Mus musculus: one gene and its partner. The protein of the gene in region 1 purifies or fractionates together with the protein of each later gene. This does not show direct contact. Links are inferred from orthologs where the notes say so. Each region holds a gene or a part of one and is shown on either strand. Other genes may lie near its edges. The genes, in order: Phip and Cul4b.

What was found.
Region 2: the proteins of Phip (region 1) and Cul4b purify together in Homo sapiens (affinity purification with western blotting; 8 studies listed by BioGRID and IntAct, with this or other methods). This does not show direct contact. The link is inferred for Mus musculus from reciprocal best matches to the Homo sapiens genes PHIP and CUL4B.

What each region holds. Positions count from the first base shown.
Region 1 is NC_000075.6:82,965,123-82,981,314, reverse strand, and holds the start of Phip (PH-interacting protein), read left to right. Parts: upstream 1-5,825; 5' UTR 5,826-6,023; coding exon 6,024-6,063; intron 6,064-6,168; coding exon 6,169-6,227; intron 6,228-6,358; coding exon 6,359-6,388; intron 6,389-6,581; coding exon 6,582-6,641; intron 6,642-15,272; exon of another isoform or gene 15,273-15,282; intron 15,283-16,192.
Region 2 is NC_000086.7:38,529,885-38,545,976, reverse strand, and holds the end of Cul4b (cullin-4B), read left to right. Parts: intron 1-376; coding exon 377-481; intron 482-1,117; coding exon 1,118-1,228; intron 1,229-2,559; coding exon 2,560-2,645; intron 2,646-3,818; coding exon 3,819-3,926; intron 3,927-4,926; coding exon 4,927-5,040; intron 5,041-5,871; coding exon 5,872-5,977; intron 5,978-6,850; coding exon 6,851-7,023; intron 7,024-8,702; coding exon 8,703-8,855; intron 8,856-12,248; coding exon 12,249-12,344; 3' UTR 12,345-14,361; downstream 14,362-16,092.

The DNA of each region.
Region 1 (16,192 bases):
ATCTACCATCTGAAGATGCCTGGTTTGTCTTGACTTGGCCAAGCATGTTGGAAAAGGAAAAAAAAAATTCTAATGACAATCCATGCACACTTGCATAAAAGAAAACACTGTGGCTTAGATTGCACTTGTTTATGACTATGACAAAATAGAGAAAGGAAAGAAAAAAAAAAAAGAGGAAAAAGAGGAGGGATGGAAGGAGAGAGGAAAAGGCCTTGCTTTCCTGATTTTTTTTTTCTTTTTTTGCAAAAATTGTTCCCAGCCTTTCCTTTAACAGCCAGAGCAGTTGAAAGTTAGAGATATGGAAGACTAATGTGTGATGCCTCAATTTTAAAAGTCAGGGGCCAGATTCATCGTTAGGTAATTTTTAGAGTTCTTCAGGTAGATCTAAACTGATCACATCAAATGGAAATCGGATCTTCTTTCTCATATGGGATTTACCACTAGAAACCAAAGTCTCAGTGATGAAAGAGGAGGAAAAATTAGATACTTTGAAAATGACTGAAAGTGTAGGGGATGTGGAAATCGGAGGCAAGAACTTACTCAGAAACCCAAGACTGAAGGATTAGATAAAAAGCGCACTGTGGGGACATGCACCAGCCAGGGAAGAAAGAGGAGAGCTTTCAAGAACCAGGAATTTTCACTTTGATTTTTTTTTTTTTTATGATTTTTAAAAGTTAAGGAGATGTGCTGAGTCAGGATGAGGGCAGTAGAAAAAGACAAGGAAGTTCTTCCTTCTCACGTGATACTACTTTCTTAATATTTCTTAAGATAGTCCCTCAAGGATGCCCAGCAATACGACCAGCAGTCGCTGTGGAAAGGAAAGAGCAAGGGTGTTCTTACTACAACGTTCTGCAGAAAGGCTGTTTGTCTATGAAATCACTCTTGTTCGGTACGTGTTTTCCACACCTGAATGTAAGCATGAGAATTATGAAGGTAATAGGATTTGTAATCCCAGAATCTAATTATAAGCTTTTCATAAACTTCAGCACACATATCTCAATAGGATAATGTTGGTATTACTCTGTAGGTGTATGATGGACAGCCTAGTGCTGGCTGGCCAGTAACGTTTCAGTAGGAGAAAGCAACAAGGGTCAGGGGAGGAGGCCTTGCAAAATAGGCACACGTATGAAAACAAAAACAACCTGCAAATACTCTATAATAGGCCTCCTATTTTCTAATTCTGAAATTGGGGAGAATATTTTTGATTAACCGAATGGGTTAAATCTAATGTCATCTCTTTAAACTTCACTAAAAACTAAAATTAATTCTCAATTTTGAGTTAGACTTGACTTCTACTGGCAATCTGAAAGCTTAGGTCTTATTCCTTTGAACGGTTTTCCTTCCTCACCAACAGGTCAACTTTGGTGTCTTTGGTTCCTAGTATTTTTCTTATGAAGACATTTCTCAATATTTGTTGGATAAGCCTCCCTCCCTTCTCCCCAAAGTTGATTTTCATTACTTGGGGGTCTTGAAGTTTAGGAATTAAGTATTTATAAATACAAGAGATTTCTTAACTCTGGTCCTGAAATCCTGTCTTTAAAAAAAATCACACCAATAATACTATATTTTATTTAAAATACCACCAGCAGCAACTTTCCGGAGCCTGGGCATCCTCCTCTCCATCCACCTTCCTTTTCCAGTGTTCTCTCTGAGTCCAGCCCCCTCCCTGTCCATCAAACACCTTGCTAGGATAATACATGCCTGCAGACTTCTGTATGTGTTCTCTCCTCTGGAACAGCCTTTTTCTAAGTCATCTACTGTGCTGCTCTGGATCTGGGAGGAATATGTTCTAAAACTGTTTTTCTTCTGTAATATCTAACTGTACTGTTAAAGTCATAAAGTGGTTTTAAACAATGTATATGGATTTATCCATGAAAGTATGTATTTCTTTTACAAACTAACATGCAACAATTGTAAACTACAGGGGTTACTTAATTAGGAGGAAAAAAAAGCTTGAATAAATTACTAACATTAAAATAAGAAAGGGAACATACGATTATTGGAATTTAGCTAATATTTGTTACAGATTATAAGAAAATGTACTACAATTTATGGGAAAAGTTTTCAGTGATCTCGTAAGGGGGAATCATTAAATAAAATTAAATAGCAAAACCAAAACACCCCCCCCAACCCAAACAAACCAACAACAAACATGTTATCAAATGATGGAGTGGTTTACTAAAGTACATTGACCCTGTTCTTTCTGAAGGTATCAAAACACTATAGCTGCTCATGAGATTCAGATTTGATAGTCACGGGTTGAAGAGACAATAGGGGGTGAGAAGAAACAGATTGGCATGGCAGAAGACGCAGAAGTGGAGAGCATGCCACAGCAGTGTGGATGAGCAGAATATGCCCCCCAAAGGCCCTTATGGTAGCATGCTACATTTTGTTCCTCAGGGCAAATAAATAGGTTTCTGCTTTATTTCACTGAGTGAAACTTTTTGCTCTGAAAGTAGCAAATGGGCAGAGAATATATAGCTGAATTGTAGTTGGCTGGCACAGCAGGAGCAAGAAAACCTGGGTTCACTGCTCAGCCTTACAAAGTATCAAAACAAAACAAAACAAAACAATGTAATTGCTCACCTAAACCTCATAAGGGTAACATAATACCAGTCCAGAACCATGACTTACAGATAAGGTCAGCCCGGAATCCAGTTTTAGCTTTGTGTCAGACACCATACTATAGGAGAGAAATCAAATTTTATAAAAGTAGTAGAACTTTAAAGTTTATAATTAGTGTCCATCTTATTCTAGAGAAGACGTAAATGGCAGAGTTGATCCAGTATGGAATTTCACAGAAACTTGGAAAAAGTTTATAATCCTTCTAAAGAGACTATCAGATAAAAATTAGTTTTTGCTTTCAAGAGTTCTTTTCTTCTTTGATTTTGTTTGTTTGTTTACTTGTTTGTTTTCTGTTTTTTTTAGCTTCTTAATTAAAATGCACTGAGAAGTACTTTTTAATGGTATTTTTTGGAGTACATAAAAACCATAAAGGACTAGAAAGGGGTATGGATTGAATTTAAACTGTCTTTATAGAGAAACAAATCAACTGTGGGAAGAACTATGCACACCTCTGCTTTGGGAACAAAATACAGGATTTCTAAACAAGAACTTGTATTTGATAAGCATAGACATTTTGCATACACATGCACAATAAACGACTTAGCAATCTCAGTTAACCGAAATATTCTATGCTTGATGTTAAAGAAAGCGAAGTGATTTGGTTTTGTTTTTTTCAAAAGATAAAAGTCAAAAGAATGGACTTAGCAAGATGCAATTTAACAACTAGGGCTAAAAACAACACATTTTTTGGACTGAAAGAATTAGAGAAATCCTAATTTTTGTCAAGCACTCTTTATATTTTACGAAAAACAACCATAGGAATTAATTTAAAGGCAAGCTTACAACTGTTTTCAAAAGAAACTAAAAACATTGTCAAAGTTAGCCAAAATGTTAGTAATGACATGTTTAGAAGGAAGCAGGCTTTCCTTAAACAGTTTTTTATTTTTGTTTTCAGTCTCAAGAAAAAGCTCCCATGGCTTCTGCATGGAAAACATACATGGTATCATGCTAGCCTCCCATGTCTCCTAACACCTACAAAACTTTATCCAGATACAGTTTACATTACTTGCCAAAATTTGATTTTTACCTCTCAAGGGCAAAACATCTAAGAGGAAGAATTAGATTAGTGTTGCGTGCAGAACCAGCAAGCCTCAAGTAGAATTTTTAGTTCTCAAAATCTGTTCATTTAAAGACCTTCTCAATGAAGTACCTAAATTATTTGAAGGACATAATGCATTTTAAAAAGTTAAGATAAAACAACATTAGTCACATAAATAAATACAATTGCAAAGGCATATAAAATATGTTTTATGCCTAATTATTCAGAAGCAGGCTACTTTACCTAACATTGTAAGACTAGGATTACACGTTTTAAAAATGCAAACATGTCCAGATTCTGAGGCTAGCCACACCAGTTTAGGGGCAGATCTTATAATACTGTAGCATTAGGACCAATCGGGGTAACCTCTTATTTTTATTGAGTTACAAAAGGCAATTTTACATCCATGATTCCAAAGGGGGTTGAGACGGTTTCCTCGTGCTCACATGTGTGAGAATGTCTGGTGTTTTAGTGCTCTTGCAGTACAGCCTAAGGCGGCTGCAGCATTTCCCACTAGGAAGGCAGGGAGCTAGGAGGGTGCAGGGCTTGAGGAAACAATCCCGGAAAACCACAATCCAGCTTCTTGGTCCTTACCTCACAAATTACCTTTTAAAATCAGACCCATAAAATGCAGCTTATTATCTAAGAAATTCAAAGAGGATCTTTTGTTAAGGATTAACAAAAGAATGACTAGCCTAATTCTCTTTAAAAGGCCAACCTTTAAAAAAATTGAACTCTCAAAGTCTTTTTGGAAAGTGCTTAATTCATCTGGAGATAAATATCACTCGGTGTCCTTGTTTTTTAACAAACGGCCTTTTCCATTGTTTCCATTAATTTCACCCATATTCGTTTTAAAAATAACAAGGCCCCTATCCTCATCAGCAAAACACAGATGAACGATGTATCATATAAAACCAGTAATTACATTAGGATTTACGAAAAGATTTTTGTTTCTGCTTTTCGCCAGTTTTTAAGAAGTCTTCCCGTGATTAACTGTAAACAGGAATGGTTTACACCGTAAATTAGAAGCCATTAATTAGCATGACGAAGTCAACTGCAAGATACACAGATAATTTAAATTATTTAATCACTAATCACCTTTGCTAAACTGTAATATACTCTTTCAATAACCTTCGGTAGGTTATCGACCGTGTCAGTAATTTACCTCCATATCAGTTAGAGATAAGTATTAGCTAGCGCCCTTTCCTTTCCTTCAGGTTTATATTAGCCCTTCTTGTAAACACTTTAAAAAGCTTTAAGGTTCTTCACTTCCAAATCCCTAATTAGCCATCACTAGCCTTTTTGTAATAAGTGGGGGAAAAGATGAGCTGAAGTACAAATCTGGAGTTCCTCTTGCCCGTTTATCAAAACAAAAACATTTTTTTTTTTTAAACGAACGCTTCAGGCGATGGTAGTAATAAAAGAAATATGCAGAGGTGGCTTCGGGGAATAACGGGTTTGCAGAACGCAAGTGGCTCAAAAAAAAAAAAAAAAAAAAAAAAGCCCGAACCTCTATTGCAACCCACGGCACTCCAATAAATTACACAACACTTGCCCAGGCTGCAGAAATATCGCAGGACAAGACTTACACGGATGCCAATCCGCAGCATTTATACACATGCACATGGCAAGACTGAAAGCAAACACTAGCGTTCAAGTCGGGCAGGGCAGCGCGATCCCGACTTGGCCCAGCTTGAGAGTGCTCGCTGAGAGTCTCTGTGCGTGCGTGAGAGTGAGCCCAGTCCTCCCGGCATTTCCCCTCTTTGAGCAGTTTTGCTTCATTTGTTTCCTATTTCTGCTACATAGAAACTAACTTCCATCTCAACCCAGCCAGCGCCGCTGAATAGAGCCTGTGCTGCGGCTCCGTGTGCGTCAGATCCCTCCGCGCAGCCGTGCCGGCCCCCTCCTCCCCTCCCTCCCTTTCTCCCTCCCGCCCGCGGCCTCTTTAGAGAAAGCGCCCGCCAGGCAGCCCGCCGCTTCGGCTCCGACATCTCCTCGCGCTGGAAATAAATAAATAAGTGGCGGCCCAGGGCGCGCGGAGCGACGACCGCGCGGGCGCGGGCCTAGGCCGAGGCACTCCTTTTCCCGCGGGGGGCGGGGGCGGCGAGTGCGGGGCCGCGAAGGCGCGGACTCCTTTCTGCGGCGGAGGGATCCCGGCGGAGGCGGCCGCAGCCGGGGCCGCTGCCTGAGAGTTGTTGTTTCCTCCTCCTCCTCCGCCTCCGCCGCCGTTGCTTGAATGGTGGAGCCGAGGCTCGGCTCGTGAGCACACACTGACAGCTACAGGGCAGGCGGCGGCACCGTCCCCGCGTCCCCTCGGCGGCGGGGTGTCCCGCCGGCGGCCCCGAAGTGACCCGCAAACATGTCTCGTGAGAGGAAAGGCCTCTCGGAGCTGCGATCGGGTAAGTCGGGCGCTGCGGGGCCGCCGCGCCGGGCGGACTCGCCCGCGGGCCCCCGCCCCCCGCGGCCGCTCAGCCCGTGTCTCCCCGTCCTTCTCTCCCGCGCAGAGCTCTACTTCCTCATCGCCCGGTTCCTGGAAGATGGACCCTGTCAGCAGGCGGCTCAGGTAGGCGGCGCGCGGCGCGGGGACGGGCGGGCGCTCGCGGTGGCCGCCCGCGGGCGTGGGGGAGGGCGGCGGCGGCGGCGGGGCCGCGGCCCGGGGCGCGGGGGCTCAGCGTCCCCGCTTTGTTGTTGCAGGTGCTGATCCGCGAAGTGGCCGAGAAGGAGGTAAGGGCGCGGCGGCCCGGCGCCGTCCCGCCGCCGCACGGCCTCCCCCGGGCCGCTGCGCAAGCTCGGGCGTCCGGCGGGGCGCGGGACGCGGGGCGCGGGGGGTCCCCGGCGGGGCGCGGGGCGGACTGGGGAGGGGAGCGGCGTCGGTCCGGGCCGGGGGCCGCGCTCACCGGGCGTCCTGTCCCCGCAGCTGCTGCCCCGGCGCACCGACTGGACCGGGAAGGAGCACCCCAGGACCTACCAGAATCTGGTGAGACATTCCTAGCGCACTGCAAAGAAACTTTTCCCCGAGTCGAATAAAAATTGAATTTCCCGCAATTTTTTACAGAGACAAAAACTTGGCCCCAGAACGGGAAAAGCTGCAAAGGCCACGGGGAGGGTTGGGAGGCCGGAGCGGGGGCTGCGGGGGGCGGCAGCCGGGGGTGCGGGCGCCCCGGGGCCGCGGGGTCCGCGGACAATTTATTTGTGATATTTTGTTAATGTGCTAGAAATAAAGATACGTCATGAGTGTTGTGCAGTGCAAGGCCAGAGGAGGAGGGGCCGGCGCGCGTATCCGCGCGGGGGCGCGCGCGCGGCGGCGGCGGCAGCGGGAGCGGCGCAAGCCTGGAGAGCGCGCTCGCCAGCTCCTTGCTTGCTCTGCACGCGCGGCCGGCTCAGCTTTCTCCAGCTCCACACAATAGCTGGTGACTAACTGCTCCGAAGTGGCATTAGCATTTCACAAGAAGGCCTTTGAGCCGCGGAGGAACCTTGGCAAGATTTTTTAAAATTTTTTTTCCCCCTTCTCCTCTGTCTTTTGTTTTCTGTAGATTCAGACCCAGATTTTTAATTTTATTTTTTTTTAATCTTTGTTTGGTTGGAGGCGTTCAGATAGATATGGTAGTCACCCAGCGGCACATTGTGCATTATACAAACAGATCTGCCGAAGTATAAACCTGGAAGTTTTAATAGGCGTTTTCCAATTTTGCAGATTCTTGGGGGATATTACCTTCTTTTATTAAAAGTCATTTATAGAGGTCATTGAAGAATTGTGGGTTTTATCTGCATAGTTGCCGTGGGGTGGACCTTGGCTTTTAAGTTTTTGTTTATATTGAGATGTTTTTCTTTAATTGATTGAAAAACAATGTTTTTATAGTTGGTGAGTTTTCAAAGGCAATAATTTACAAACAGTTGCTTTCCATACGTGGAGCTGACACGAGTATGGTGAATGGTAAGGTTCTCTTAGTTTACTTGAGTAAAGGAGCTGCAGGTTTCACAGCCTCTTCTTTGCCTAAGAGAAGTTGATACAGTTGTTTGTGTGAGTGTGCTGCATAGTCAGTCTCACCAGGGCCCATTGAGCAGTTGAAATTTAGGCAGTGCACTGACAACAATGTTTGAGATCAGTTTCTGACTCTTCGAGGTAGTTGTGATTACTAGTGCTTTCAGGGCTGTAGGGTTAGGCAGTTTTAGTAGTTCAGAATGAGTGTCTCTGAGGGCATGGCATGATTGTGATAGCTTTTGCTTGGTTTTGAATATGAGTCGCATAGCTTTCGTGTGTGCATTTTATGATTTAATATAAACCACTGGTTACCGTGTGACTGTTAAGGCCGTAGAAACCTAGTGGAGGGTGTTTTCGTTTCCATGCTTCCAAGTTAATTTTCAATATCGAATTAGGGAAGTTCAGTCAGTTACTTGGTCCAAAGTGATTGAAATTTGAACTAAACTCCCGGGTTTACTATTTGCAGTATTGGTAATTTTTACATTTATGCTTTTTACACAAATCTTCAGTGTATTTCCATGCCTTTCTGGCTGTTTAAGAAGAAAACAACTCTAAAAATACTGTTACAATGATACAGCTTTTTTTTTTAAACCACACTCATCTTTTCCTTTCTTTAAATATCCCACAAATCCCAAGTCATTGAAAATGAAAGTCTTGTTAACTTAAGAATCTTTAAGTAATGCTATGTTTTTTTGAACTAAGCAACTAATAGTGTTTTTGACCAAATAAATGCTGGGAATGGTTAATCAGTGTAGGAATATCACTTTGTTTACTGAAATTAATTTTAGAGGTGGTTCATAGGCCCAAATAGTAATAAAATGAAGTATTTGTAGTCAGTTTTTCAAACTTCATAAATTGTGGTTGTCTGTATGTTATTTATCAAAAGCCACCTGTTTTGCTTGAAGGTGATTTTTCTTGTGAAGAGGTTTTTACCTCAGCAGTTAACGATGGCTTTACTCTAAAGACAGGTAAAATTCTCACTGGAACTTGTGTTTGGTTCCTGCCCTCTTATTTACTCAGCATAGAACTGCACTGGACACAGGGCACCCTTTGAAATGCTTTCACACCCAGTAAGCTGTATGCTGAGGTGTGGGAGAGTATGGGTTGACTTTATGTCACTTTAATTTTGATTTTAGGTAGCTTTAAAACATTTTGATTGTCATGTTTTTGAGCATATTGGTACATATGAAAAATTTGTTTTGGTAAATACATGCATAGTTGCTTAAGTATTCTGTGTCTTAATTCAGTTTCATGACTTAAAAGTTTTTCTTTTTGTACATCAAATTGAATTAACAAGAATTAATTTAAAATTATTTGGTGACTAAAAATGTAGTTTCAACTTCTACTTGAAAATGGTTTGGAGTATTAACTGATAAACTGGATAGTAATATGAGCAGAAAGATACATGTGAAATTGGAATTTTCTAGAAAATCTTTAGGAAAGAGAAATGTTTGTACTTAATGAGTTTAAAAATAATATCAACATTGATAGCTTCTAAATAGAATTCCAATGTCATTCAGTTTTGGCCTAGAGGAAAATGGAGTGTTTAGTGCAGTTTTGAAAGTTTTGTAAGTTAGAAAAGTAAAATTGACACATTTATTTAATATATGATTGAAAAAGGGAATTCTTAACAAGCTGAAAATTTTGTGTTTGGTATTAAGAATGTGATGAATTATTAACTGTGGGAATACTTAAAACATTCTTGTAAAAGTGAATGGAATTTGATGGGATAATTGTTTTTGGCACGATTTAAGTTTATTCAGACTTTATTTGTTAACCTAGTTTTTTTTTTTTTTTTTTTTTAAAGTAAAGGACATTTTTCAAATATTCGCCAGATCTCTTTTAGATGAAGCCAGGTATTAGGCCAAAAAAGTTTCTTGGTTTTTAAATTTTATTTATTTATTTTATTTTTGGGTAGCCTGGCCTTGAACTGTGTGTAGCTGAGACTGACCTTGGTTCTTCTGGTGTTCTTGGTTCCACCCCCAGAGTCCTGATTACAGAATGTTTTATGCAGTGTGGGATGTGAACCCAGCAGCTCTGTGCATGCTTTGATGATGAGCAAGCACTTCACAGTGAGCTAGCTACGTATTCACTCCAACCAAATTGTTGCAGATTAACAAGGTTTTTGGACAGTATTTTCAGTTTTTTAAAATGGGATTTCACTCATCCTAGGGTGGTCTGGAACCTGCTGCAGCCTATACTGACTTTTAGTGCTCTGTCTTCCTGTCTCATCTTCCCTAGTTGGGATTATAGACATTAGCCACTTGGCTCATTTCTTACTTGTGTATCTGAATTGTTAGTTTTTTAGTTCCCCTTCCCAGTTGTCTCCTTAGCTGTTTTATTAAAGCAAGTCGTCGAAGCATTTTTACTTGGGATGTGTTGATTACATTTTATTTGTAAGTTATTCTTTTCAGTTGAGTTAATATTTGCTGATTTGTTGATATATAATTTTGCTTTATTAAAAATAACCATATTTCATTTTCTTAAACTGATTGCATGTCGTTAGAAATCTTTTTGTCAGAGTGAAAGAATTAGAAGTCAGGAGGTGTGGACTGTTGTCTTGAAGCCAGGTGACAATTAGCTTGCAGGTGATAGGAACAAATTCTATAATTTATTACTCTTGTCTTGGTTATTTCTAACTGTATGTAAAAACATGGATGGAAAATGATCTGTAAATATGATTTTGAGTTAGAAATAGCAGTGCTTTGTTTTTTAAGTGCTTAGCATTCATTTTGGTGTTTAACTTTCCAAAATGGAAAGTTAAATCTATAGAAATCATGCCAGTTTGGAAGTCGAATAAATGCTTTTTATAGTACCATTCTTTGGTATTTGGCCTACTTTGGTTTCTGTTCACAGAAAACAACTTGGGGGGAAAGGGTTTATTTCCACCTAGAACTCCCAAGTCACAATTCATCTCTGTGGGAATTCAGAGGAACTGAAGTCACCTGGAGGCAGGAACTGAGTCAGAGGTCTTTGGAGGGAGGCCACTAAGACCTCAGTTTGTTGATTTACTCCCCCAGCTCAGCTACTTTTCTTATACTGCTTAGGCTGCCCACCACCCACTGTGAGTTAGCCCCTCATCAATTTGCAATTAAGGCACCTCACATATTTAGCCTCAGGCTTCTCTGACTGAGGAAAGTTCTTCAATGAGGGTCCCTTTGCCCAGATGTCACATTTACAACTGAGTTTTTATAATACTTCTTGTAAAGATGAAGATTTTTGAGAGAGTAGCCACATTGTAGAATACCTTTGTATTGTTGAATAATTGTTTTTCACTTTGTAAGTAAATAAGTAAGTTACTGGTAACTTCAAATTCAGAGATGAATAGAGGAGCTATTAATTGAATTTAATTAAGTATATGCCCTAGGTAGGTATACATATATTTGTTATGAGTATGCTGATTAAAGTGAAAGTTATTGGATAAAATTTAGAGATAAGCTTAAGGAAAGTGGTAAGGTAATAGATGTCTTCTTTAAACTAGGAATTTCCGGTCTGTATGAGGGTACTTTGAAGACTTGAATATAAGTCTTTTCCAGTTTGGGAGAGAGAGCAGTTGAGAAGGTAGTTAGGTAATGGTAGCATTATACTGTTGTTTGTTTGCTTGTTTGTTTTGTTTTTGTGCATGTCTGGTTTTTTTTCTTTCATTTTTAAATTCTTTGAAAATTTCATGCATGTGCGTGATGAATTTTAGCTAATTTTTGAAATTGTAATTTAAGAGTTTCAATTAAATACCAAGCTTTACTTGGTAGTTTATAAAATTGAGCTTTTAAAATGACCTACAATTATAATGAGGGATAAAATGTGTTAGTAGGTATAAAGGAAATTAGTATGTGCTAAAGGACAGAAACTTCATCTTTTTAATGTATACAGTTATTCTTTTGGTGCTTAGTATCATCCATTTTTTACAAATTAGGTGCACTTATAAAATTTATATGTGTACTTACTATGTGGGTATGAATGTGTGATTGTGGTGGTCAGAACAAACTTGGGGTGTTCTTCAGGTACCATCCACTTTTTTTCCCCAGATAATTTCCCTGGCCTACAACTCTCACAGTAGGTTACAAGCACCAGGGATCCACCCACCTGCTTGTCCTTCTAGTGCTGGAGTTATTGGGGATGCCTGGTATTTTTTAACATGAGTTTTGAGGACCAAACTCAGTTCTTTACTAAGTTTATGCCCCCAAACTACGGAGATTTTAAATGAAATAAGTCCACATGAGATTCTCAATCCTTATATTGCAAGGTGATGTGGACATAAAGGGGTAGTGGAATTGTACCTTTGCTAACTGCATGGCGATGGTTTATAGATGACAAATTGACTTTAAAAGTCTGGAAATAGTAGTTGGTGTAGGGTTGGGTTTGCTCTTGGCTACCTTAGAAGCAGTAGTAAAGGTAGAACTGTGTGGGAGTGTAGTTTTCCATAAGGAAAGCATTTCTATCTGAGATACATGTACTTAGAGCTTTCTCAGCCTAGCTAATACTTTATTTTAATATTTATTTATTTATTGATTGATTGATTAATTATATGTAAGTACACTGTAGCTGTCTTCACACACTCCAGAAGAGAGCATCAGGTTTTGTTACTGATGGTTGTGAGCCATCATGTGGTTGCTGGGACCTGAACTTAAGACCTCTGGAAGAGCAGTCGGTGATCTTAACCGCTGAGCCATCTCACCAGCCCCTAATACTTTATTTTAAAAAGCTACTTTGAAACTTTAGAAAGTACTGCTAATGTACTTTTTAGGTGAAAAAAAAACCCCTAAGACATAGAAAAAAGGTCAGTGACTGTAAAACAATAAATAATTTCTTAAGTAGGTCTATAGAAGTATTTTGCTGTGAATTTGGCTGACTTGCTGTGAAACAGCAAACTTTAAATATTTGGGTAGTTGCGTTACCTTGAACTAGGCCTGGAGTTCTATAGTTCCTGTGGCTGGGCATTTACATAGTGTGAAGGAGGTCCTGGGTTCAATTCCCTGTTCCAAGAGAAGGAAAAACAAACAAGCAGAGGAGGGAAGTCCTACCCTGAGCGGATTAGAGACAAATGAAGCCTTTTCTTTTTCTGATAGAGAGAGATTGAGAATTAACGTTGACTCCTTGTAGTCAGAAGTCTGTGGCCTTTAAAGCCGTAGTCCTTTGTTCTTAGACTAAAGAGAATGTCTTCTAGACAATTTAATAATTCAAAAATTGTATTAATTCTTAGGTTAGTTTTAGGTTAAATATTGTCGTTTTTTACCAATTTAGAGGTTCTTTGTAAAGATAGGCTACAAGTTTTTGTCCTTGTTGATTAAATCTGGAAATTGTTTATCTGCAGGCATTTTTCTCTGTCCTAAGTTTTGTTATTATCTATGTGTTTTGTGGCACTTCAGCATATGGGCAGTTTGTTTTGAGCAGTGCCTAGTCTAATGGGAGTTCATTCTTAGGAACAGTTATGTGCAGTTCAGGATTCTCAGAACAATATGCTTAATACTAACTCATGTGACCTCGATTAGCAGACAATTTCTGTTTATTTATTCTTAGGAATAGTTATGTGCACTTCAGGATTCTCAGAACAATATGCTTAATACTAACTCATGTGACCTCGATTAGCAGACAATTTCTGTTTATTTTTACTGACTTCAGGAAGATATGAGCACATTGGGCATAAAAAAGTATCATTTCAGTAGGATTTTTTTTCCCCTGAGACAGGGTTTCTCTGTGTAATCCTGGCTGTCCTGGAACTCACTCTGTAGACCAGAGTGGTCTTGAACTCAGAAATCCACCTGCCTCTGCCTCTGCCTCTCCTCACCCCCTGAGTGCCCAGCCAGTAGGAATTTTTAAGTTACTTTTGTAATTATATCTAAAAGTGATAAAGACTGTCAAATTTAGGAAATCTGAAAATTACAATGTTTTCAGTTTCATATTTTGTTTGAGAGAATATTTTGTTGACATGAGTAAACCTTTTTGAAAAATTCTTTTGAGAAGTCATTTTAAATTAATATGTAAAAGCAAAAGTTTATAAATTACTTTGCAATTAATAAGGTATTTAGCATGTGGATTATAAAAGGGTATAAGCATTCTGTGATACGGAGAAAATTAAACTTTTATTTGTGGAATTTGAGAATATAAGGTATTATAAGTCCAAAATAATGAATAGTGGCCAGTCCTTTATACAGATTTGAGACCTTTTGGTTCCCGCTTAAGAGGTAGTCATCATTTGTCTCTAGGCGTGGTTACCTTTAGTGACGCAGTACATATGCATGTGCAGTCTTGGAGCTTTCACGGGTGACTAAGCTTTGATATTAGGAAAGCTAAGCACTAACGTAGTCTGGTATATCCTCTGCTTAGTTTAAAATGAAACTAATGAGATTTGTCAGAACATTTCTGTTGATAGTAGCATGTTAAAGACACAGTCCCAAAGGAAGTCGGGTTCTGCTCCAGCTAGCATGGCACACTGGGTTTCTGGCATGGGTAGGGAGGAGATAGATAACTTGGGAAAGGTTATAACAATGCAAGAAATGACTACTGTGAGCTGAGTCAGTTTGCTTCAGTTTACTTTTGGATGGAAGGCAGTTTGGAAACGTAAGACTTGACTGTCTCTAAATGAGTACTGAGACTGACACATAACGAAGCATGAAATGGGATGCTCTGGTTTTACATGGACTGTTTTAAGAGTGAGCAATTTAAGGGTTTTTTTTCCTATCCATTAGAAAGTAACTTCATCAGAATAATAAAATTTTAGATTATATTCTTAACATATTGAGAGATAATTTATTTTACAACTTTTGCTTAGTAAATACGATTTGATTTTTAAAACTCAACGTGTTACTCTAAGTCATTTTGTGGTGTTTTAAATTAATTCGAATAGAGTACCCCAACTGTGTATGGAGGAACCTTTAAGACTGTTTTACCAAAACAATCAGATTTTAAATAAATAAAGTTAGAAATATTTGTATTTTCTTTAACTGACAGATACTGTATTGATAAAACCAGCTGAATTACCTAAATGTGTTCTTATGGTTGACTGAAATCTTTAAATCATTCATGTTGTGTTTCTTTCCAAGTACTTTATAAGTAGACTTCTAAGATTGATTTTGAGGGTTCTGTATTTATTGTGAAGCATTTTATAAGGAAATCATGAAAATCTAGGAATTCACACTACTATTTTGTAAATAGTAGTTAATCTAATTTAGAAGATTTGATTTTACTTATTAGTTGTAAGTTTATAATGCTCAAGCTTTTGTGACTGGGGGAGGGGATATTGTGAGAAGGCAACAGTGCTGTAACCAGTGCTGGGGGCTGCAGACCTAAGCTGGGTTAGCTCATTCCTGTTTCTGAGGTAGATTTAGTTAGACAGATTCACTACTTTTCTTTACCTATGGCATCGGTGCAGTTTCCTTACATTTCTTTGCCATTCTTTAATCTTTACAGTTAAATTATGAAGAATGGCATAAAGATTCCCCACCCCCACCCCGTGGAGAAACTAAATAAACTTGGGATCCTACTTTCAATACTACGTTTTTAATAAAATTTTATATTAAGACACTTGTGGGCTCATAGGCAAGAGAAAGCAGAGGGAGCCTATGCACACTGAGGTCCACTGAGAACATTTTACAAAGCCATGGTGATGATACTGACTTTGAGTGTCAGGATCCCAGGTGTTCCCACCCTGGCTTACTTGTGTACGTGTAAGTGTGTGTGTGTGTGGGTGGGTGTGCGCCTGTGTGTTACATTCTATGTGATTAACTTAATTTTTCTCCTAATAAATGACTTATATGTAATGCATAACTTGCAGTATAGTTCAAATAAAGTTGACTATTATACAACAGGTGCAATACCAAGAACATTTCATTTATCTAAGACCATAGCCAAGTACAGGGATCTTGTACATTGTCCTTTTACAACTAACCTCACTCTAACAATGCCTTGCCTGCCTTTTATTTCTAAAATGGTATCTCAAAAAGTGATATAACTTGAATCAGATTTATGCAAATGACAGTTGTTTTAGACTTAGTCAAAAAAGTGAGGGAAGAAATGAGACTGGAACTAAACTACTTAAACATACGCTTAAGGAGGCAAGCAGTGGAAACATCTGAATGATTACAACTGAAAGGAAATAGAGAACAGGTCAGGCAGGATTTGAGGGTTTCACTAAGAAGGAACATGATCATGTTTAATGTAGGTATGAGTAGTAAGGAGATATAGTTGAGAAGAACTTGAAATATAAGGAGGACTAGTTTATCTTTGGGATTTCTCTGAAGTCAGGATTGAAAGCATAGGTAGAAAATTTAGATCTTATGTATTAAAGGGAACAATTGTGCTCAAAAGCAGAATAAGATTCAGTTGTAGCTTTAAGGATTTGATGGGGATGAACCCCCCCCCCCCCCCAACTTCCAGTAAGTGAGAAAGGGAGTATGGAAAAGAAGAGCTTATGCCTTGGGACATTGTCTCAAACAAGAAGGTAGACATACACAGTATAACAAAAGGTGCATTTTATTATACAAAATTTTCACTCTAAATTTCTAACTGAGGTCCTAAGCCTATCTTCTCCAAGGCTGCTCACCTGTGCC
Region 2 (16,092 bases), on another chromosome or scaffold:
GCTGTCTCTATCTCATTTTAAGTTTTTTCTTTTTCTCTCTTTTTTTTTTAACTCTGAAAGTGAGGGTTTGAACCCAGAGACCTGCACATGGTAGGCAGAAACTCTACTACGGTGCTCTATATATAGTCCTTCCATATCATACTGGAAAGTATACTCAGTCTGGATTCCAATTCGGTGCATTTACTTGTAGTATTTGTTAGCCCTGTGACAGTGACACGGTGACTTGATCTTCCTTTCGTTGGAGGCCATAAAATGCATGTACATATAGCACAAATACTGAAAGAGTTAGTATTTTATAGTCCTATTGGGGTATGTGTAGTAGTCAGTACCTTTCAGACACCCGTGGTCACTAAACTATAGTTTTTCTCCATTTTAGCTAAGTATGTGGATTCAAAACTTCGTGCAGGCAACAAAGAAGCTACAGATGAAGAGCTTGAGAAAATGTTGGATAAAATAATGATTATATTTAGATTTATCTATGGTAAGTGTTGATTACTGCTTTCACATTTTTCTTTTAAAATAAAGCACTTAGGGAGCCAGGCATAGTGATAGAGACCTGTAATCCAGAATTCAGGAGGCTGAGGCAATATTGCTGTGTAGGTCACATAGTATGAGCCCAGCCAGGGCAATATAGCAAGGCCCTGTCTCAAAACAAACAGAAAACAAAACAAAGAAAGCACTCCTTTAGGAACTAAAAACTTTTATATAACCCAGAGAGACTTTGAGAACTACAGGGTCTATTTTATTTATTGCATATTTTAGATCATTAAGAACAGTTGAGGAATGCAACTAAATTGCCTTGTATTTTGACCTTTCCACTATTAAGAACCTGGGATTTTACTGCTTGTTTAATCTCTTTGAGTTTTGGTGCTAATAGAACCAATGTATTAGGTTTTTTCCCCTGAAAAATAGTTAATACAGTCTTAATTTGTTTTATAGTAAAAGAACTTTTGAAATGTCTGGCACAGACATGGACCTCCAGTGTTCTTGGGTTTAATAAACTTGGATAAAATGTATAAAATTAAATAACTTGTCGTGTTGTAATAAACTTTTTAAAGCCATTTTCTTACAGCTTTACTTGGCATATCATGAGTGTTATCTTTTTTATTTAATACAGGTAAAGATGTTTTTGAGGCCTTCTATAAGAAAGATTTAGCCAAACGCCTATTAGTTGGCAAGAGTGCATCAGTAGATGCTGAAAAATCAATGCTGTCCAAACTGAAACACGGTATGTTTGCCATTCTTTTTTTTTAATATCAGGGTTTTTTAAAAAATATTTGTCGGAAATTATGGCTTAATTATACTCTTTTCGTCGATTGCTGCTTTGGTTGATCATTTTATATACACATGAAAACATAAATTGAAGGGGTGGGGAGGAAGGCTCAGAGGGTAAGAGGCACAAGCATGAGGACCTGAGTTGTTAGGACACCCATGTAAAAAATGTTGCGTGTATGTATGACTCCAGTGGCTAGGGGTGGGGTAGAGGTAGGGAACAGGAGAATCTTTGAGGATTCCTGGACACCAGCCTAGCTCTGGGCTCAATGATAGACCCTATTTCAAAGGACTAGGTCTGTTCTCGTAGAGCAGTACAGCCAGTGACCTCCATGCCTGTGCACACTTACCCAACATACGCACACATGAAGTGAGTAGGACGGTCCTAGCCTCTTGCTGATAGCCATAATTACTGGCTTGTTTTAAAGACAAAGAATTATTCTTTTGTTTATTAGTATAAAAATTCCCAACTATCCTATACCTGGATTAAAGAGTTTACCTCTGAATCATTACTAGGGCACTCTAAGAGGTAAGACTTTTCATTCTTTTTTTTTTCCAATTTTTTATTAGATATTTTCTTCATTTGCATTTCAAATGCTATCCTGAAAGTCACCCATACCCTCCCCCTGCCCTGCTCTCCTACCCACTCACTCCCACATTTTGGCCCTGGATTTCCCCTGTACTGGGGAAATAAAAGTTTGCACGTCCAATGGGCCTCTCTTTCCACTGAGAGCCGACTAGGCCATCCTCTGCTACATATGCAGCTAGAGACACGAGCTCTGGGAGTACTGGTTAGTTCATATTATTGTTCCACCTATAGGGTTGGAGACCCCTTCAGCTCCTTGGGTACTTTCTCTAGCTCCTCCATTGGGGGCCCTGTGTTCTATCCTATAGATGAATGTATCCACTTCTGTGTTTGCCAGACACTGGCATAGCCTCATTGTGTCAGCAAAATCTTGCTGGCATATGCAATAGTGTCTGCGTTTGGAGGCTGATTATGGGATGGATCCCCGGGTATGGCAGTCTCTAGATGGTCCATCCTTTTGTTTCAGCTCCAAACTTTGTCTCTGTAACTCCTTCCATGGGTGTTTTGTTCCCAATTCTAAGAAGGGGCTAAGTGTCCACACTTTGGTCTCCGTTCTTGAGTTGCATGTGTTTTGCTCTTTTCATTCTTACAAGTGGTTACAGATCATATTTGATGCCCACGTTAAGTTTTGCGTTTTAGTTTCTGATGTAAAGTTTTTGTTGTATTACCTTGAAATATAAACATGTAAACATCTTTAACAGAATGTGGAGCCGCTTTTACCAGCAAGCTTGAAGGAATGTTCAAAGACATGGAGCTTTCTAAAGATATCATGATTCAGTTTAAACAGGTAAAGGCTGGTTAAACTCTCTTACCTAATCCCTTAAACTTCAGGATACTTCAGTTATGTCCTTGCGGCAGTTTGTATTGAAGAAGAAGATAAATAGAAGCCCATATATATATATATAAACAAATAATTCATGGCAATTCAAACAGTACAGTATAGGAAAGAGATCATCAATGAATTTTAAGTATATTTAGCTTACTTCAGGATTTAGTCATAATTAACATCCAGAATAAGACAGAAACATAAGTAAAAATGTATTACACTAAAGTTAGTATTAGAAGAATTATACTTAGATAGTAAGAGCGGGGCTTTTCTAATCAGTTGGAGGCTTTACATGTTCAAAGCTTGTAATGGGGATAGAGGTGAGGTGATCAAGGACAGGGGTGGTATATTCTGTCTCTCTTGACATTTGGGATGAGAATTTGGATCTATAGTTTTGAAGACCTAAATAGGAGGTTGTTTTAAAGTATTGTAAAAATATAAGCAACCAGATGTAATTTGTGTAACTAGTCTCAGCTGCTTGGAATGCTGAAATAGTATGTGGGCAATATAAGTGAGACCTTGTCTCAAACAGTAGTGGCAGTAATGACTAGGCAATAGTGATGGCAAATTAGATTTCACTCCTCAAGGGTTCAGTAATGACTTCTTGACTACTACATTGAAGGTGGTCAATGGAACCGAAAGACTCAAAGTTCAGAATTAGTAGGATCATGGATCTTACAGCAGCCACAGGATGGCATTTATTTGCCTTGCCCTTTCCCACTTCAAATAGGGAATGAATCATTTGAAAAACCAGAGACTTGGGTTGGCTGGTGGGGTGAGGAATGCAAGTTACTACAAGGTGTTTCAGTCCATGTAAGGTTTCTAAACATGGGTTTAAAGGTGGCATTGAGGGAAAAACGGTGAAGAGATGCTACAACAGCCCAGTCGTGTGTGAGAGGTTGAGTTGTTAATCAACCTTGGATGGTTTTGTGGGATTTTTGTATGCTGCTCTATCAAAATGGCCACCTGGGTACAGCATTTTGTGTAGCCTTCATTTCAAGTCTTAATAATCCTTTATTTGCAGGATGGTCAGTATTTACATATATTTTTAGAAAAAGGAAATTCTTAATTTAGTCATTATTATGGTATGACATATATACTTTCATAATCTTGGTGTATGTATTAATCTTATAGTATATGCAGAACCAGAATGTACCTGGCAATATTGAATTAACTGTTAATATCCTGACAATGGGTTACTGGCCAACATATGTGCCTATGGAAGTCCATTTGCCGCCAGAGGTAAGATAAATTGCTTCAGAACTAAGCTATAGATATAGAAATCACATTTTTTCCTGCTTTTCATTTGAAAATATGTGACTTTTAAAGGCTTATGTCAACAAATATAACAACAAAATATGAGTGTTAATATTTTATTCTTTTACTTCATTTTTCAACTAGATAACTAAATTGAGTCTATTTTCCCTAATTATTCTGTTTCTTAGCTTATGACCTCTTAGTCTTTCTAGCTGTGAAAAAATCTTGCTCATATTCCACCTGAAGGCAGGATTGGTAGACGTTATTGATGGATGTATGAGTATCCCTTCATGCCCTGGAAACTGTCCTACTCAGGACCAAAACCTAGAATGTTGGAATAAAGAAAGATACTAAGTCTATGGAAAGAACTATGGGTGCCCAGAGAGTAGATTTCCCTCAATAAGGGAAGAATATGGTGAAGAGGAAGAGAAAGGGCAAAGCTTCAACTTTAGAAAAGGCTCACATTTAGCAGATGGTAAAAAGAAGAACCTGTGAAAGAAATGTGGGCAGAAGCAGCAGTGAGAGAAGGGAGTCGGTATAGTATAGAAGCCCGAGTCACCAGAGTGAAGGAATGATTAAATACCAGGGTAGAGAAGATCAGAGTGTAATGCTCACCAAGCAGTTACATGGGGAGTTAGATTTTAACCTGAACTTAAAGGGGTTGATATCTACTGGAGGTAATCAAGAAAACTGTCAAAAGGTATTCCAGATGGGGGTTAAAGAGTTGAGGTGGAGGTCATTGAGGTGGCCCAGGGTGAAGGCACTTGCCAGCAAGCTTGACCTCGTAGTTCAACCCCCTGAACCCACATAGTGGAAAGAGGGTACCTGACTCCTGAAAGTTGTCCTCTGAGCTTCATTAGCACATGATGGCATGCACACCCCACTTCATTCATTCACTAAGTAGTTTTTTTAGAAAAATAGTGCTAAAGGTAACACTTATATAACATTTCATATGCAGCTTAAACACTTACTTTATTTGCTTTAGATGGTAAAGCTTCAGGAAATTTTCAAGACATTTTACTTAGGCAAGCACAGTGGCAGGAAACTCCAGTGGCAGTCAACCTTGGGACACTGTGTGCTAAAAGCTGAATTTAAAGAGGTAAGTGGATTTTTCCAAATCTTTACTTCTATCTTCATCTTTACTATGGCTTATCCCTTGGTTTGAAGGTTCAAGTTGCTGTTTTATACGTGTGTCCTTGACACCGGTGTAGCCACAGTGATAGGTAATTACAATTTTGTGTATATTTTAAGATGGTTACCTTTTCAACAGTTGAGTTAGCCCTTGTCTAAAATGAAAAGCTCCCCTCTGTCTTTCTCTTTCCCTGTGGATGCAGAGTTCATACTGTGTTATTGGAAATCATGTGGCTAGAAGCTAGAGAACGGAATGGGAGATACAGGCAAACAATATCCATTGGGAAAAATCTGCATCTGTTCATGAATGATCTGAATCAAGTCAAAAATATTTGAAAGTGGGGCGTAGTGACACACAGGACTGGAATCCTACCACTTGGGAGATAGAGGCAGGAAGGAGTTCAAGGACATATTTGACTACAAAGGAAGTCTAGCTTGGGCTGTGGGAAACCCTGCTCAAAAAGTGCATTCAGAATAGTAATTTCTTGCTGCTTATGGTGAATGTCTATAATGATACATAGGACTGACTTATGTTCATTACTTTTTTCTGTTTTAATAGGCCAAATAATCCTTCATCCTGTTTTCTGTAGACTCACACCTAAATCTCGCACTACACATCCTGCTGCCATCTAATGCAGCACTTTGGATAATGTTAATCGTCTAGTCCTAGTCACCTGGGCTTAACTCACTAATTAAACACTGTCTCCCTAGAGGAGGTTATTGCTTCCTAATTTATTTTTCATGTGTTTTAAAAAACAGGAAAAAAAAATACAGTAAAACTCTGTTGTTTCTCCAACAGGGCAAAAAAGAACTTCAGGTCTCTCTTTTTCAAACCATGGTGCTGCTAATGTTTAATGAAGGAGAAGAATTCAGTTTAGAAGAGATCAAGCATGCTACTGGGATAGGTTTGTATTGTGTTGTTTGTCTAGTAGCAAGCAGTTGTAGTTCTCTAGTCTGTGCAGTCACTGTGATCAGAGCTCTGAACATAAAAGGACATGATCCTCTCCTCTGTACTTAAAAAAAAAAGATTTTTTTTTGTTGTTTTTTGTTTTTTTGTATATAGCCTGTGTGTGTATATGTATACCACACATGTGCAGGGATCTGTGGAGTCTAGAACGGGGCATTGTATCTCCTGGAACTTGAGTTAGGTGTTTGCGAGTCACCATGTTAGGTGCTGGGAACTGACCCTTATTCCTCTAAAAGACCAGACACTACTCTTGAATGGTGAGCTAGCTCTCCAGCCCCCTCCTCTGTATTGGCAATGATAGAACTAGCCACCTGGACTGTGAGAAGATTCTAGTCTAGAAGCTATGAAGATAATTCTGACATAAACTCCTAAAAGAGACTTCTGGTAGAATGTTTCCAGCAGCAATGAAATTACTAGAGATACAGCACAGTGAAGGAGAATGAAGACTTATAAGGTGATGCTAGGCTTTTCATAGGATTAGGTTAGTGTTACCATCATTAGCAATGAAGCAGAAGGTTAATGGAGAATATCAACAAACTCAAGTGATAGTACAACAGCCAAGTTGAGTGTCCTTTTAGTGATTGACTTGAGAGAAAGGAAATGTTTTGGTAGTTGTCTGCATGGATGACAATACATGCTTTTAGAACATGAGTAGGAAAAAAATGTTACTGGATAGCACAAAGAGCAGGTGTTGGTAACGGTGGGGAAAACAAAGCAGTATACTAGAGAATGTTGGAATAAGAGTGACATTGAATGTGGGGCTCATGCTAATAAGCTACAATCAAATAATTAACCATCATTTCTTCTTCAGAGGATGGAGAATTAAGAAGAACACTGCAGTCACTAGCCTGTGGCAAAGCTAGAGTTCTGGCTAAAAATCCTAAGGGCAAAGATATTGAAGATGGTGACAAATTTATTTGTAATGACGATTTCAAACACAAACTATTCAGGATAAAGATCAATCAAATCCAGATGAAAGAAACGGTAAACCTTTTGCTTTCTCCTAGTCCTACAATATTGGGTTAAATGTGTTTATAGTAGAAATTTACAGATTAAAAACTTGTATTATGCTTGAGTGTTTTAGCTGCATGTACGTTTGTGCACCGCATCAGGGCTGGGGCCCACATGTAAGAAGGGGACTTGAACAGCCACATGCATGGATGCTTGGAATCTAACTCATGTCCTCTTTATTGCTAAGCCATTGTTCCAGCTTCAAAATTTACAATTTATTTTCTCAATGCTACCATTTCATGTAACATTTTCTGTGCCTATATCCTGTACCACCATCACTTGCTGGTGTCCTTTGTTATTTCTCCCAAATTGTTGTCTTGCTTTAACATGTCTTATCTCTTGCACGAGCATACACGCACACATAATGCATATATAATAAAACCTAGATTTTACTTATGAGAGAAGTTGAGCTATTTTGTGTTTTCCCTTTTCCTTCAGTACTCCTTTCTACTTTTAATGTCGTGTGTGTGTGTGTGTGTATTTAAATATGGATTCCACGTGTCAAAATGTGGTATTTGGCTTATTTTGCTTAACAAGATCTCCATTATCATTCATTATTCTACAGATTACAGAATTTTATTCCTTACAGCTGAATAAATTTCTGTAGTAAGCATTCATCTATTGATGGATATCTAGAATGGTTGTATATCTTTATTCTTTTGTTAAATAAGAAGTCTCATTCCTGTAATCTCAGTGATAGAAAATGGAAGTCAAATTAAAGTAGATCCTTGGAGGCTCATGGACCAGGTATCCTAGGCTATAGGACAAAGTTCCAAGCTCATAAGAGAGACCAAACAGAAAATGAAAGAAAGGTACCTGAGCTCCAATGCCCAAGGTTGTCCTCTCATGTCCCCAACCACACTCATATAATAGGCATACCCTCCCCACACACACATCAAAAAAAATCAACAGAATGCTAAAAAGTTATATAATCTTGAACATACCTAAATCTTAATCTCTCTGATCTTTTCCTTAAAGTGACTTCATGGGGGAGGAGAGATGGCTTACTTAGCAAGAGTTAGCCTGTTCCAGGGAAACTAGGTTCCTAGTACCCACATGGCAGCTCACAACTAATTGTAATTTCAGTTCTAGAAGATCTTTTGCACTCATACAGACATATATGCAAGCAAAAGACCGGTGCACATGAAATAGGAATAAACATTTTTAAAAAGAATTTATGGAAGTAAATTTTTGGATCAGTGGATATAAACATTTTACGTTTTAGGGAAGGCCAGTAGACAACCTCCAGTGTTATTCCTTTGCGCTATCTACCTTGTTTCTTTACATGGTCTCTTACTTGCCTAGAACTCACTAATTAGGCTGGCAGGATGTCCATCGGGTATTCTAGGGATCTTGTTTTTACATGAGTTCACAAAAATCTAAATTTAAGAGATAGATCTTCATGTTTGCAGGGAAAGTACTTGACCAACTGACTCTACTTCCCAGTGCTCAAAGGTGGTATTTTTCTCTTCTGTATTGCATTACTTTATTGGTCCAGAGCAGTAGTGACAACAGAAAGGAACTATGTTTGTTAAGTTTTTTTTTTCCTCTCATTTAGATAAGTCAAGCTCTTTAGAACAGTATCATTGTTATGTTCCTAATATACAGTTTGTTCCTAATTAAGTTTGACTTTATTTGAAAACTTGTTTTAGGTTGAAGAACAAGCAAGCACTACAGAAAGAGTATTTCAAGACAGACAGTACCAAATTGATGCTGCGATCGTTCGAATTATGAAGATGAGAAAAACACTTAGCCACAATCTTCTTGTTTCAGAAGTCTACAATCAGCTAAAATTTCCAGTTAAAGTAGGTATTTCTGTGTCTCCACACTGAATGTATTATAGGTGAAAGGAAATACATTTAATTTTTAGACACTAATCTTGCAAATAAGATGAAAGACTTAAAGCCATTTGGAACAACATGTATTCATTTTCTATATTTGTACATGTGATTCACAAAAGAACTTTGTTTAGCAAAATTGAGAACTAGTTTACAAAAGCCACTCCCTGTACTTGAAAGTTTAGTGAGTAAATGTGACTTTGAAATTTTTATTTTTAAAGATTTATTTATCTAAGTACATTGTAGCTGTCCTCAGAGACCCCAGAAGAGGGCATCGGATTCCCATTACAGATGGTTGTGAGCCACCATGTGGTTGCTGGGATTTGAACTCAGAACCTCTAGAAGAGCAGTCAGTGCTCTTAACTACTCAGCCATCTCTCCAGCCCGACTTTGAAATTTTTGAGTTAGTTATTATATATCTTTTGAATCTTCTTTTCTGGAGATACCTTGGCATTTGACAGATTTGATTATTAGACTGAGTTATATCTTAAACTTGGTTACCTGTATAAATATTTACTAAAATCTGTTACAGAGACTTCTGGCTATATCTTAATGTTAAAGCACGTTTTGTTTGTTTTGAAAATGTCTAGCAGTGGTTCTAGTAAACCTGAATTGGTCAATATGGGCATGGCCCAGTACAAATGTTCAGTAGCAAAGGTGCTTAGACAATGTGGTGGTGTACTAGACTATTGTTCAAATTGTAAAACATTTTAAAGTGTCTGTGATACACATTTGATAGAGGTTGCCTAGACTCCTGGCTGTTAGGATTCCTGGCAGCTTTGGACTTTGATAAGTCACTTAATTTTGCTGAGCTTGTTCAGAATTGATAGATATACATACCTCCTAGTATTATTACTTTCTATTATTAATCATTTTATTCGTTTTTTTATTTTAAATGATATCCCCCTTTCGAGTTTCCCCTTCATAGACCCACCATTGCATCCCTTATAGTATTATTTTGAGGCTTATTGAGATAGGAAGTATAAAACACTTGATCATGAGTTTAGTATATATTGAGGTTTTACTTGTAGTAGCTGTTACTTCCACTATTACAAGGTAGGCTGCTTCTTCAAACTTGAAACTGCTTCCTCATTACCACACCTGCATACATGCTCACCTAATCATTTTACCTACAGCAAGATTGCTTATTAATGCTAGAACATCAGAAATAACTAGAACTTTGATCATACTGAAACCAACATGATACTTAAACCTGGGGCTATTAGATGGAAGTTTACTTCCTTTTTTCCGGTTTGGTTTGGTTTGGTTTTGAGATAGGGTCTTACTGTGTTCTACGGCTGGCTTCAAAGTTAGTCCTTCATTTTTATCAATTCCATATCTGTGAATTCAACAAACCAAAGGTTGAAAAACACTCTTTAAAAATGCAGTAGCTGAGCTGGACGTGGTGGTGCACGCCTTTAATCCCAGCACTTCCCAGCACTCAGGAGGCAGAGGCAGGCAGGCAGATTTCTGAGTTCAAGGCCAGCTTGCTCTACAAAGTGAGTTCCAGGACATCCAGAGCTACACAGAGAAACCCTGTCTTTTTTTTTTTTAAGATTTATTTATTATTTTATGTAAGTACACTGTAGCTGTCTTCAGACACACCAGAAGAGGGAGTCAGATCTTGTTAAGGATGGTTGTGAGCCACCATGTGGTTGCTGGGATTTGAACTCCGGACCTTCGGAAGAGCAGTCAGGTGCTCTTACCCACTGAGCCATCTCGCCAGCCCGAGAAACCCTGTCTTGAAAAACCAAAAAAATAAGAAAAGAAAAGAAAAGAAAAGAAAAGAAAAGAAAAAGAATGCAGTAGCTGACTGGGAAGCAGTGGAAGGCAGATCTCTTGTGAATTGTAGGTCAACCTGGTCTACATGGTGAGTTCCAGGACAGCCAGAACTACAAAGAGAGACCCTCTCTCAAACATGCCCATGGGCTTGCTCTTCCCCCCCCACACACACACACTCCAAAGAGATGCATTCACTGTCTGTAGGGACATGTACTCTTAGCTACCAGCTGAGGCAGCAATATTACTTAAGCTTCTTATCTTAACAAAATCTTGCATCTGTATTGAATATTCAATTTCTTTTCCTTTTTTTTTTTTTTTTTTTTTTTTAGTTTTTCAAGACAGTGTTTCTCTGTATAGCCCCCGCTGTCCTGGAACTCACTTTGTAGACCAGGCTGTCCTCAAACTCAGAAATCCGCCTGCCTCTGCCTCTGCCTCCCAAGTGCTGGGACTAAAGGCGTGTGCCACCATGCCTGGCTTCTTTTCCTTTTTATCTCAGGTATTGTAAGTGATGTAGAGATACTTATTTATGTTAGGGTCATTCATTCAAGAGATAAGTGTAATTACCAATGCAAGACTATTTATTAAAAGATAGTATTTCTAATTGTGTGTCTCTGTGAGGCATTTCCATGTGTGGACAGTTCTATTCAGTTCGACCTTGAGCTGGAGGTACAGGCACTTGTGAACCCTGGCATTGGTGCCAGAGCTGGACTTCAAGAGTAGTACACGCTAAGAAGCCCTGAGACTTTGTTGGTGGTGTTTGTGACAAGGTCTATCTAATACGTCCCAGGCTGGCCTTCAGTTCTCTTTGTATCTGAGTCTGAATATAGACATGTTTGACCATGCCCAGTTCTAAATGAATTCATGTCATAGTGAAATTTTAACTACAAGATTCAGAGGTCCAAATCACTTAACTAAATAAATTAAAATTCATAGTAAACCAGAAACATAAAGAGGTGAATTAATATGATACGTTCCCAAATTTCCTGTAATTGTGTGAATGTGTGGTATTGGGGAGTAGAACCTAGGCCCCTTTCATATGCTAGGCAAGTACTGTACCACCTGGTAAAAGCCTTAACTGCCCCAGCCATTTTGTTTGACTTTTTTGCCAACTTTCATGAACTCACTATTGCCATTCCTCAAGCTACCCAAGTAGCAAGGATTATGTAGGCTTATGCCAGTATGTCCAGTATTTTATATAGGTCATATAGTAATTTCTTTTACACTTTTTAATTCATGTGTTAATTGTTTATTTACTTAATTTCAGGTTTGTTTGTGACAGAGTCTTATTGTGTACCCCAAGCAGGTGTTCCTCTGAATCCTCTTGGCTCTGGCCTCTTACTTGCTGGGATTTTAGAAGTATGCTACAATGCTCCAGCTACATTTAATTTAAGTTTATTTAATTTAGAGACAGGGCTTGTCCTGGAGCTCACTATGTAGACCAGACTGGCCTCAAACTCTGAGATCTGCCTGCCTCTGTGCAGTCACTTCTGGCCTTTGTTCTCTTTTAACGGGATGTTGGTGGATGGACTTAAGCTGGTGCTTCTGAGTTTTGCATTGAAAGTGTGCTTTCCCTTACAGCCTGCTGATCTTAAGAAGAGAATAGAATCCCTCATTGACCGGGACTACATGGAAAGAGATAAAGAAAATCCAAATCAGTACAACTATATTGCATAGAATGTTGGCCTTGGAACTTGTCATAATGCTGTAGCCATTGGATAAACTAATTTGTTGAATCTCATGTTATTTGACTTCTTTTATACTTCTGATGACCAAATGAAGCAGTGTAATGGGAATAGTTGTGTGGACTTTTCTCAGTGGTTAACATACCCATTTTAAAGAGTAATACTTAACTTTTAAGAAGAATGTTGTTGAATTCTATGCATGTTATTTAGTATGATGTGCAGAAAACTCTTTAAGAAAGTACCTGGGTCTTCATGATTCCTTTTGGAACTGGGGAAGAGATCCCTATGGCCATTAAAAGGGGGGAGGGTGATTCTTATACATCATTAATAAAGCAAAAGGTTTATTTGCCTAAAAGTCATTTAAAGATACTTAAACTGCATGCAAATTTTATTTACTGTACAGAGTTCTGGATGTATTTATCAAATAGAAAAACCACCCTTGACTTGGTTGTTTACCCATTTTGTGGTTTCCCTTGAAAAGAAAAGTAAGTTTTCATTGTTGTTGGCATTCTGTTACACTGAAGGGGAAATAATCTTATTTGGAAACAAGTTTTTCAAGTAGGGTGACAGTTCCTTCCATCGTACCTTATATATTCGCATCCTAAAGGTTTCCCATTAGGACTCTGGGATGTGTACATAAGACTTAGCCCCACATTCACTGTGCTGATTAACAGGAACTTATTAAAATAGAAAATTTGCTGATCGTCTTGTACTACAAGAACATAGCAAGAGGGGAAAACCCAGGTCCTTTTATTAAAACTGAATACAGTATGAAAATCACAGGAGACCAAAATCAACAAATAAGTTTTATAAGTTGCAGGAGTAAAAATGTACCAGCTGCTTTTCATTATGTTTCAGTGGTTAAATGTTTGGGTCGTGCTGCCGTCTTTAAGTTGGGTGGATCGTCAATTGTCAGAGGTTTCCTAGGATTTGCATTCCAGTTTTTTCTACTAAATGATTTTTTTTTTTACTGTCATGCGCCTCCTGATTTGGAGAAACTCAACATATGATTCTCCCTTGTCTTCCTTGCACACTCCCTATTGAAAACTTCAAGTTCTGTAGTCCTTTTTTTTTTAATTGCTTGAATTTAAGAGTTCTTTATAGACATTGGACACTTGCTGTTCAGGAAGTGTCTCCAAATTGGTCTCACACAGAAAGTAAGGAAAGTATTGTTTTTCAATTTCAAACTGTGAGTAAAAGACTTTTCTTCCTCACCAGAGGACTCTGCTTTGCTTCCTGGTTTCTCTTTCCATGGAGGAAATGGATGATGGCAAAGAAGCAGACTGTTTTTGTGTTTTCTTTTACATTAGAACTTCTTCAGTGCTTTCTCCACTAGCACATATCTTTGTCTTTATGGAGCAATTAGGCATACTTTCAGCTCCGAAGACTTGGGGGCTCTTATGTCTGCTATTGTTTTCTTGAATTCTCAAAGACCTGTGGCTAGCTATCTGTATTTTTTAAGTTGCCTGTTTCTCTCTAATGCATCAACTTGCACACTGTTTGACTATGTACAGTATTTAGAGTTAACTTCCCGGTTCTTTCTGAGCAGCTATTTCGTATATTTTTTCCAGCTCCTCCCTGATTTCCTTACAGGAGCTCTTCTGACAAGGAATGTGGCTGTTATGTTTACTGGATCATCAACATCAGTGTTGTAATTCATCCCTGTGTTGGTCTCTGGGATATGGAGACTATTACACCACTCACTAGTTACTCTTAAAAGAATTTGTAGGTAGGTTTGTTCCTACTAGGACGCTCTTGATACCACCTTCATTATCTTGAAAGTGGGTGCCTGTCCTGAAGTTCTTAATTCTTTAAAAACTTGACGGTGTTTCAGCTGAAAAGCTAGCCAGACTACTAAGGGAAACTGTTTATGAAACTGACAAGTAATGGCAAACTCCATTGGATTATTATGAGTTTCAGTTGTTCTGTATCGGTTGAATTTTTGTGCTCTTCCCTGTGTATGTGTGGTGGTTCTATTTTTCTCCAATAAAACTTTTATTTTAAAAAAATGTTTCTGGGGAAGATATTTAAACTCGAAATATTGTGAAAAAATTGTAAATTAGAATGAATACATAAAATCTTCCTAATGACTTCCTTAATTCACATTTGACAATTCATACTTGATTATTTTTATACTTCTCTTTGTTATTTTACTGGTAGTTTTGAGATACTGTGGAGGAGGTTATGGTAAAAAGACAGTAAATTTTCCAGTATTCTCAAAGTAGACAATTATTTCCACTTTAGAAAAATCAAGGGCACGTGTAAATATGTTTCCTTCAAACTTTCAAAGTCAGCAATTTCCTGCCAGTATAGAAGTACTTTAGAGTGAAGTTGGAAGAAAAAGAAGACATGCTTCTTGTGGTGCTTGTTGTTCTGTTCTGAACCAAAAATCCAGTCACACATGTTCAATGGTTTCTAATTCAGTTCCTGAGTCTGCTGAATGGTGACTCTGCCGTAACCTTGACATCTTTGCTACCGTGTGTGTCTGTCTGTGTGTTTGTACAGGGGAGGAAACCAGTTTATTCTATGTAGCCATCAGTATCTAAGATTTATAAGTTTATGTTCTGATATCCATAAATCTTTTATGTCTTTGCAACTGAGTCTTGCTGTGTAGCCCAAGCAGTCCATAAATAATGTGATCTTCCTGACTTGGGCTCTAAGTGCTGTCTACTTACACTGTTTGACTGTACACAGTATTTAGAGTTAACTTCCCAGTTCTTTCTGAGCAGCTATTTCATATAATTTTTCCAGATTATAGCTGTGTACCACCATGTCTTGTCTCACACATTTTTTTGTTTTTTTTTTATTCATTTATTTAGTGTAAGTACACTGTAGCTGTCTTCAGACACACCAGAAGAGAGTATCCGATCTCATTACAGATGGTTGTGAGCCACTACCATATGGTTGCTGGGAATTGAACTCAGGACCTTTGGAAGAGCAGTCAGTGCTCTTAACCACTGAGCCATCTCTCCAGCCTCTAAGCACATCTTTCATTGTATGATTTTTGTCTGTTTTAATGACCACCCTGTATAATTTTACACATGACAAAAAGATACATACTTCATTTTTTCATTCACATAAAATTGCTAAAATAAATAGCTTATAAAGAAGAAAGACCCAAGGATACTGGGACTTTATATAGCTGCACTTTTTTTTTGATATTTTCTTTATTTACATTTCAAATGTTTTCCCCTTGCTGGGTCCCCCCTCCAGAACCCCTATCCATAAGTGCACTTTAAAAGTGTCCTTTTCTAATGCTTCACTAAAGATTTTTTTTTTACATTTTATTTTATGAGTACACTGCAGCTGTCTTCAGACAAACTGCAAAAGGGCATTGGATCCCATTACAGATGCCTGTGAGCTACCATGTGGTTGCTAGGGATTGAACTCAGGACCTCTGGGAGAGCAGTTTTAACCACTGAGCTAGCTCTCCAGCCTGGATTTTTTTTTTTTTTTTGGGTCAGTTGCTTACAAAGATTTTGCTTTAGGTCAAGCAAGAATTGGTGGCTCATGCCACTAATCCCAGTCCTTGGAAGGCAGAGGAAGGTGGATGGACTTGTCAGTTCCAGGCCAGCCAGGGCTGCATAATGAGGCCCTATCGGAGAAACAGCAATAAAGCCCAAAAGCCCTGTTTCACATTGGCATAGTGATCTGGTTCAAATCATACACTTGTTCAATTATTTTTTCTTCTGCTATTCAAGTGTTCTTCTGAACGGATACATTATATACTTTTATAGTTA